Rattus norvegicus: one gene and its partner. The protein of the gene in region 1 purifies or fractionates together with the protein of each later gene. This does not show direct contact. Links are inferred from orthologs where the notes say so. Each region holds a gene or a part of one and is shown in the gene's direction. Other genes may lie near its edges.

Region 1 (4,035 bases):
CATTTTCTTCTACTCTTTTTGATTCCACAATTCATCCCTTGGCTTCGCAGCTGAGCTATCCTAGCGTCTGAATTTCTCCCAATGAACGAAGCTCTCTAGTTCACTATTACCCTGAGATAATGAAAAGAATCTATTGCATTTTGCGAATTGTTTTCATCCACATACCTTCAATTATCCCCCAGTCACGGATCAAAAAATACTATTCGGTCTCTATTCAATTCCTACAAGTCAAGGCCTAGTAGACAGGCCAGCATCCTAGGACAGTCAGACCATGTAGGGTGGACCAGATGCTCTCTCCTTCGTTCTAGATGTGAGATTCTGGAAATACCATGCACACAGGATGAGAAATTGCACTACTCTCCTGATGAAAGGTAATGGACCCAGGGGCGTCAGAAGCATGATCTTTCATGCCCATCCACACCCGGGTACGCCACTTATAGGTGCTTGACCCAGGTCTAGAAGAACCCCAGCAAAGAAGGGGTGGGTCTCAGCAAACCGGGACGCGGTGGCGGCGACCCAAAGCCTACACCTCCGCCACAGCAACGGTCCCTGAATTCCCAGTTCCCACGGCCACGCAAGGGCCCATAGTCACAGCCGCACCCCCAAGCGGCGCGCCTGCCCCGGGGCAGGGCGGGGCCCGCCGCGCCTGCGCACTCCCTCTGGGCTCGGCGTCCCCCGCACGCAGCCCACGTGACCTGTGCCTTGCCCAAGATGGAGGTTGCAGCCAGGCCTGACCGGGCCCCCGTCACAGTCTGCGCTCTTGCGCGCCCCCTTAGAGCATGAGACATGAACTCAGGCACACTATATTGACCCGGGCAGCGCCGCGGGCTGCCGAGGAGGTCTGTCAACAGCATCAGTCAGTACGTGCACCAGCTCCCTGCTCTTTCTCCACAGCGAAGCTCTCAGAGCTAGCGCCTGGAGAGTCCTCGGTACGCCCCGCTCACTAGTATTGACAAGGCCGGGAGCCAATGGGGTTTGTAACTTTTGAGAGAGGCCGATCGAAGGCGGAGCCCCTTTGCAGCGCCCGCGAAGCGGGGGTGGCTGTTGGGCTATTGTAGGGCGGACTTAGGACTCTCGGACCAATGGAAGAGCAACTGAATTCTTGGAGGCGGGGCCGAGCCGTAATTGACGCTTTCTTCATTAGAAACCAGGCAGGGGGCGGGGCCCACGGGGGGAGGTGACGCAAAGCCGTTGCAGCCAATGGCTGGTGGGCCGACGGCGGGAGGGGCGGGGTTGGAGCGCCTGACGGGCGTAGGGCGCGGCCTATCCCCGCGCGGCTCTGCGCTCGAGGGGGAGCAGCATCATGGTTCAACGTGGGTCAATTTTTTGTGAATGAGGAGGGGAGGTTGTGGGGCCGCTGCCGCGGAGCACCATCCCCGCCGCCGCCCGAGCCCGAGCCCGCGCGCCTGCTCGCGCCGCCGCCGTCGCCGCGCCGCCTCACGCCCGGCCCGCTCAACGCGACTGCTGTCGCCGTCGCCGCCCGAGCCCGCCCGCCCGCCGGCGGCGGCGCAGGCTGAGGAGATGCGGCTCGGAGCGCCCGAGCAGGGCTAGACGCGGCCCGCCGCCGCCGCGGTAAGCCACCGGCCGTCATTGTCCGCGCCGCCCGGTTGCTGGCGGCAGGTGGACGCCCGGCCCCGCCGAGGCCTCGGGGCCCTGCGCCGCGGGCTGGCGGGCGGGAGAGCGGCCTGCGCCGGCGGGCGGGCAGGTGGGCGCGCGGGGGCGGGGGCCGGGGCGTTTATGTAACTTTGTCAGCCTGTGAGTTTGCAGAAAACGCCCCTCGGCGGCGGCGGGCGGCGGGGCGGGGGCCGCGGCTGGGCCCGGACGGTCGTTGGGCTGGCGAGAAGCTGCGCTAGCCCGGGAGACGACCCGGTGTCCACCCTGAGCGAGCGTTCCGAAGGCACGGCTGTAGCCCACACCGCCGGAGTCGGTCGGAAAGGCCGGGTGTGGAACCCGTGTTCTCCTTTAATGCACACGGAGAATTTGTTAATAACTTGCAGCCGCTGATAGCAGTGTTTTGGTTATTGCATGCTGTAAATTGACCTGCTGTGACACGATTTTCAAATAAAGCGTCGCAGAAATTAAACTTAAGTTATTTTAGAACTAATGACTTTCTTAACTAAATCCTAATTGCATTACTGTAGAGACCTACCTAATTGCTTTCCGAGAGCCACTCTGCCTGCTCGGGGAGGAAGGAAAGGCCTGTGTAGTCACTTTGCCTCCCTGCTTTTCTCTGCTCAGGCGTTTCTGCCTGTTCCCACAAACCACCTAAGCATTTAAGGCCTGCGGAGTATTAACGTGTAAACAGCCATGGCCCTGTCGCACTTTGGGGCTAGGGGGATGCTGGCGGCTTGCACCTTGACCTGGTTTCGGTTTTTCCTCCGTGATATGATCGAGGTTGCCAGGAGTTTTAATTGCTTCTGATAATTCCGTGCATTATTTCAGGACCGGCTTGATGAAAGCTAGTGTGGTGGTTTCAAAATCCATCCAGAAAGAAGGTGGTGGTGGTGGTGGTGGTGGTGGTGGTGGTGGTGGTGGTGGTGGTGGTGGTGGTGGTGGTGGTGGTAGAACGCTTGTGAGAGGCAAGGAGGTTGAATTAAGAAAACTCAGCTGCTTCTACACAAATATACACTATAGCAGTTACAAGGCAGCAAAAGTTATTGCAGAATTTTGCAGTCTCTATGGCAACACAATTACTCCATTATAATTGGAAATGCAAAATGCCACCCAGTTAGAAGTTTCATCAGAATGGAGTTTTGGATATCAAAAAAATATGCGAGATTTAGTTAAAAATTCTCATTTTTCCCCAGGTAGCTTCTGCAGCTCTAGTCTAGGTTCAATTGTCTATTTTTAAGACCCATTCGCTTTCCCAGATCTGCCACTCCTCGGGATCTGTGGCATCTTTCCCCAGAAGAACTCCCCGTTTGTGTGGGAGGGAAGTATTTTCATGCTTTAAAAACACACACCCGACACACTGTAAGACTTCTATGGCTTTCTGTGTTCTGGCTTTTCTTTTAAAGATCAAATGCCTTCCTGAAGAGCAGTAATCACCCAGAAGAGGCTGGGTTTGCTAGAAGGCCGAGGTAACACTGCCCCCTTTAGGGGTCTGCCGGCTGCTTACCGGGTATCTGAGAGCCCTGAGGGGGAGAGAATGACTGTGGACTGCAGAGAGGCCTGGAAAGCCTAGGGACCAAGGACAGATGTGACCAAAGCAGCCCTAGCAAGAACATTCTGTGGTTAGCAGCGTCAGGGAGCTGGGCAGCATATAAAGCCCCCAGGTGGCACCTTTGCAGAAGTCAGGGGCTGCTGCTGTGCGAGGTGGCAAGAGAACATGGCACTCTTCACGGGGCTCCTGGCACCTAGCTTGACTTTGGTTTCGAAGCTGTGTTAGGATGATGCCCCTCTTGATGTTTACCAGAAGAGCTCTGGTGCTGGAAGTTTCCACACATCGTGGGGCTGCTGCAGCTTAATTTCGTTATAACCCTTTCCTTTTAACTACTGCATATTTTTGCCCAGTAATCGACTTCCATTTTCCAGCCTCATTGTGAGGTTTCAATGCAGCATGAATGGCTTTGAATTCCAATCCTTTGATGTTGGGGGTGGCACCAAAGGAAAGGAGACTTTGTGCCGTCCTAATTGCCAGAGCAGAAGAAAATTTCATCACTCCTGTCGAGCCTCGTCCATGCCATTTTCTATTGAAAACGGCTGGTTTTTCAGAACTCTGAAGCTACCATAAGTAATACATTAATACCTGACGTGGGGAACCAGGGAGATGCAGAAATGAGAGACACCTGCTGCACAGGGAGATTGGGGGTGGGGCTCAGGCCCAAGACCAGGGTTTTTGATGTCTCTGGGCCCTGGGGTGACTGAGCAGGCTGAATCCAGAGTTGAGCTCATGTCCCATTGGTTGAAACCCAGCCTTGGGGAGGGGTCCCAAGGAGATTTTTGGGAATGGCTTTGTTTTGATCTCCAGTGACCATCTTGTGTCCTGCTGTTCATCCACCTCTGGGCATTAAGTGTGACACTGACCTTCGAGGT
Region 2 (3,500 bases), on another chromosome or scaffold:
GGATTTGCATCCATACTTTGACAAAACATCAAGAGCCTGTGTACAGTGTGGCTTTTAGTCCTGATGGCAGGTATCTGGCAAGTGGTTCTTTTGACAAGTGTGTGCACATCTGGAACACACAGGTATGTCCCATTAATTTAAGCTTCACTTACTAAGTTAGAAGCATTCACCTATTTACATACGTTTTTGTTTTTCTGTATGTGACATCAACTTAATAGTTTTAAGAATCAAAAAGTATTTGGGGGCATTTTATAGCTTTTCTTTTGTGCCCCATGAATCACCCTCTGTGTTCCCCATGTCTTGGTTGGTGTAGGTCATACTTAATACATTGCAGGCAGCCATTTTCTGTTCTGTAGTAGATTTCTACCGTTGTTTATTTGATGAGTTACTTGCTATAAACCATCACATCTAGTATTTTTCATTAAGTTGCACAGCTGATGCTCAAGAAGGTCCGTACTGAGGAGGTTTTGGCCATCTTTGCCTTCATGTCCGACAGTGACTGTTCTGCCTACCTTCTCTTTCATCCTTACTGAGTTTCATACTGAACAAAGCACCATGCTTCTAGCACACACTCAGCAGGGTCCCGTTTCTAGGTGGAGGATGATATTGCAGTTCCAAGCTTCCAGTATGGGAAGTGAAGCTGAGTATCCTAGGCTGACTGCTCTGCAGATTTGAAAATTCATTTGAATTTTACATTTAAAAACTAGCATTTACCTAAAGAACATCACTATGGCACTTTGCACATACTTTGTTTTTAATAAGCCTGTTTCCTGCTCCTGTCTCTGCTCCTCCGCCCACCTCTCCATTCACTTCCCCTGAGCTGCCCTTCCAATCCTCATGTCCTCCTCCTCTATTAAGGCCTCTCTGCTCCCTCTCGTAAAACCATCTCTAGTTTCATGATTTGCACTCCCATGCTAAAATGTAGGATACTCATGAAAAGGAACGTGTTGTATTTGTCTTTCTGAGTCTGGCATATTTTGCTTAACATTCCACTTCACTGATTTTCCTGTAAAATGTAATGGTTAATTTTTCTTTAAGGCTACATAATATTCTATTGTGTACTCCATTGCGATATATTTTTTTCTGTTGGTAAAATGTATATGTCCCTTGGTGACGAGTATGCTTCTTCTTCTGCATTCATTGTTCATTGTAGGTATTGTTTTAAGGAAGCTAAACATCCTAGTGGGGAATCACCAACACTAGAAAAACAGTTTGGGCTGAAACCATCCTTTGAGGATAGTCTGATAACATCAGTGAAAGGGGTTACCATAAAATTATTATTTCCAGAGGTTTAGAACTTGCCTATATTGTTATTTGAAACCAAGGCCCACCTCTGATTGCTAGAAAATTAATGCATCATCATATATTTTTGACTCATTCTAATACCTAATTAATTTAAAAAATTTTTATCTTTGACAGTTTATTTTGAGCCCATATACTACTTTTTAAATTAATTATTTATACTAAGTTTATATGAATTACTATAATTCTATAGTAGCCTCTTAAGTAAGTTCTTCCCTCCCTCCCCATTTTCCTCTCTTTCCTGCCTTTTCCAATTAAAAATTACTATATAGTACTTACACATAATAACAGGTTTCATCATGATATGCTTATAAATGATACAGAACATTTTGATCAGCCCTCCTCCACCATTCTCTTCTCACATTACCACTAACTCCTCCTATTTAGTTCTCTTCTCTAATGTCATCTGGGGGATTAAAATAGAGTTACTTATGGGAGCACAGGCAACTTTTCAGTGGGTACACCACTGAAGAAAATGTCCTTTCCTCCTCCATCAACCATTAACTACTTACATATTTTGGGGAGAGGAGGGATAGGGGTGAGGATGGGGTTTCATGTCACTTTCCTACATTATAGATTTTGATAATGATACTTAGGCGTCTGTTTTTCATATTTTTAGACAGGTGCTCTAGTTCACAGTTACAGGGGAACAGGTGGGATTTTTGAAGTTTGCTGGAACGCAGCAGGAGACAAAGTTGGAGCCAGTGCTTCGGATGGTTCAGTGAGTATGCACATGAATTTTTTTAAAGAGAAGGGGACATGTTAGGTACACAGTTGTGTTTGTTGCAAAATAACAAATTTTGGTTAAAATATCAACACCATTTCCAACACCTCTCCCTGGGCTTTGTGCTAAATATGTTCATTACATTTTGAATAATATGAATAAAACTTAGGGGTGACTTTGCCAAAGAGTCTTTATAAACAAGCAATGAGCAGTTTCCAATGTAAATCTTCCATTTGTGGAATTAAATGTCATGAAGTATTTCTTGCTAAATGGTAGTTTTAAAGCCCTTTCCCCAACTCTCCTCTCTGTAGAGGGGTGTTAGAGGTTGAAGAATGGAGGCTGATTTCTGCAGGGAGATATTTGGTACTGAGACCTCCAGGATGTGGTAATTATGGTCTCTACTGTTCCAAAGCAGTGAAAGCTGGAGAGGGAGAGCTGAGCTATTGGCGAGGTGGCCTCTGTAACTCCTGGTATCTTCTGTTCAGATCCGAGAGTTAGAAGCTGTCTGCTGTGTATGTTTCCCATCCCCTTTTCACTGACTGTAAGGACTAATTCCTAAACCTTACAGCAGCATTTCCACAGTTACTGCACCTCGCAAGGGCTCACGTCACAGCATGGAGACCTGATGCCCTTCAGTTAAGATTTATTTCCATGATTTGTTACTTTGATTTTATGAATATGCATCTTAGAGACAGACTGTAAATTACAATGTACTCTTTATAGAAGTTAAGCTTGCAATGTAAGGTAGATTTCTGGATCCTGGCTGACTATTGTCATCTCTTACAGGTTTGTGTCTTAGATCTTCGGAAATAGCGTTACTAGTTGGAAGCCATGGACCGACTATGAATGTGTACATAGCCACAAGACTATCCCTGACCCACATAACTGCTATAGTCCCATTTGAACCATGGCCAGTCCACTACAGCCAAATCTAAGAGAAATATATACATGCAGTGTATATGAACACAGCTGTACCCTGAAGATGACAGTCTCGTCCCAGCTTGTGAATTCTGCTCACCAAGTGCTGGGATCTAACCTGCTGTGCCCCTAAGTAGTGTTTAGAAGTTTGGATATGGAAACCAGAAGAGAAGGAATATGCGTTATAAGAGCAAACCACACATGTCCCAGTTTTGAATATCAATGACAGCCTTGTTTCTCCCCTTTGAATCAGCAGACACCATGGATTATATTTTTTCCCCTTCAGTAGTGCGCAGTTTGTATGTACAGAGAACATGGACTTAACAGAAGCTTGCGGCAGTAGTTGGTTCTTGCTTCCAAGTTTGTTTTTGGTTTAGATTACGGATGCATGAAGTAAGGGAGTGAATCATTTTCTTGCTTTTTTTTTTCCTCACCTTTTAAACAAACAAACAAAAAATAATCTTAAAAATATTTTCCTGCATTCTTTGGAAGAGGTAGATGTTTGGTACATTTGATGGCTCCCAGAGCATATACTCAATAGGTGCATATTGTGGAG

What was found. The genes of interacting proteins can lie anywhere in the genome.
Region 2: the proteins of Hdac4 (region 1) and Tbl1xr1 purify together in Homo sapiens (affinity purification with mass spectrometry; 3 studies listed by BioGRID and IntAct, with this or other methods). This does not show direct contact. The link is inferred for Rattus norvegicus from reciprocal best matches to the Homo sapiens genes HDAC4 and TBL1XR1.

The regions. Positions count from the first base shown.
Region 1 is NC_086027.1:100,194,838-100,198,872, reverse strand, and holds the start of Hdac4 (histone deacetylase 4), read left to right. Parts: upstream 1-1,235; 5' UTR 1,236-1,313; exon of another isoform or gene 1,314-1,572; intron 1,573-4,035. UniProt on the Homo sapiens protein: Responsible for the deacetylation of lysine residues on the N-terminal part of the core histones (H2A, H2B, H3 and H4).
Region 2 is NC_086020.1:106,849,165-106,852,664, forward strand, and holds part of Tbl1xr1 (F-box-like/WD repeat-containing protein TBL1XR1), read left to right. Parts: coding exon 1-122; intron 123-1,921; coding exon 1,922-2,023; intron 2,024-2,812; coding exon 2,813-2,839; 3' UTR 2,840-3,500. UniProt on the Homo sapiens protein: F-box-like protein involved in the recruitment of the ubiquitin/19S proteasome complex to nuclear receptor-regulated transcription units. Plays an essential role in transcription activation mediated by nuclear receptors.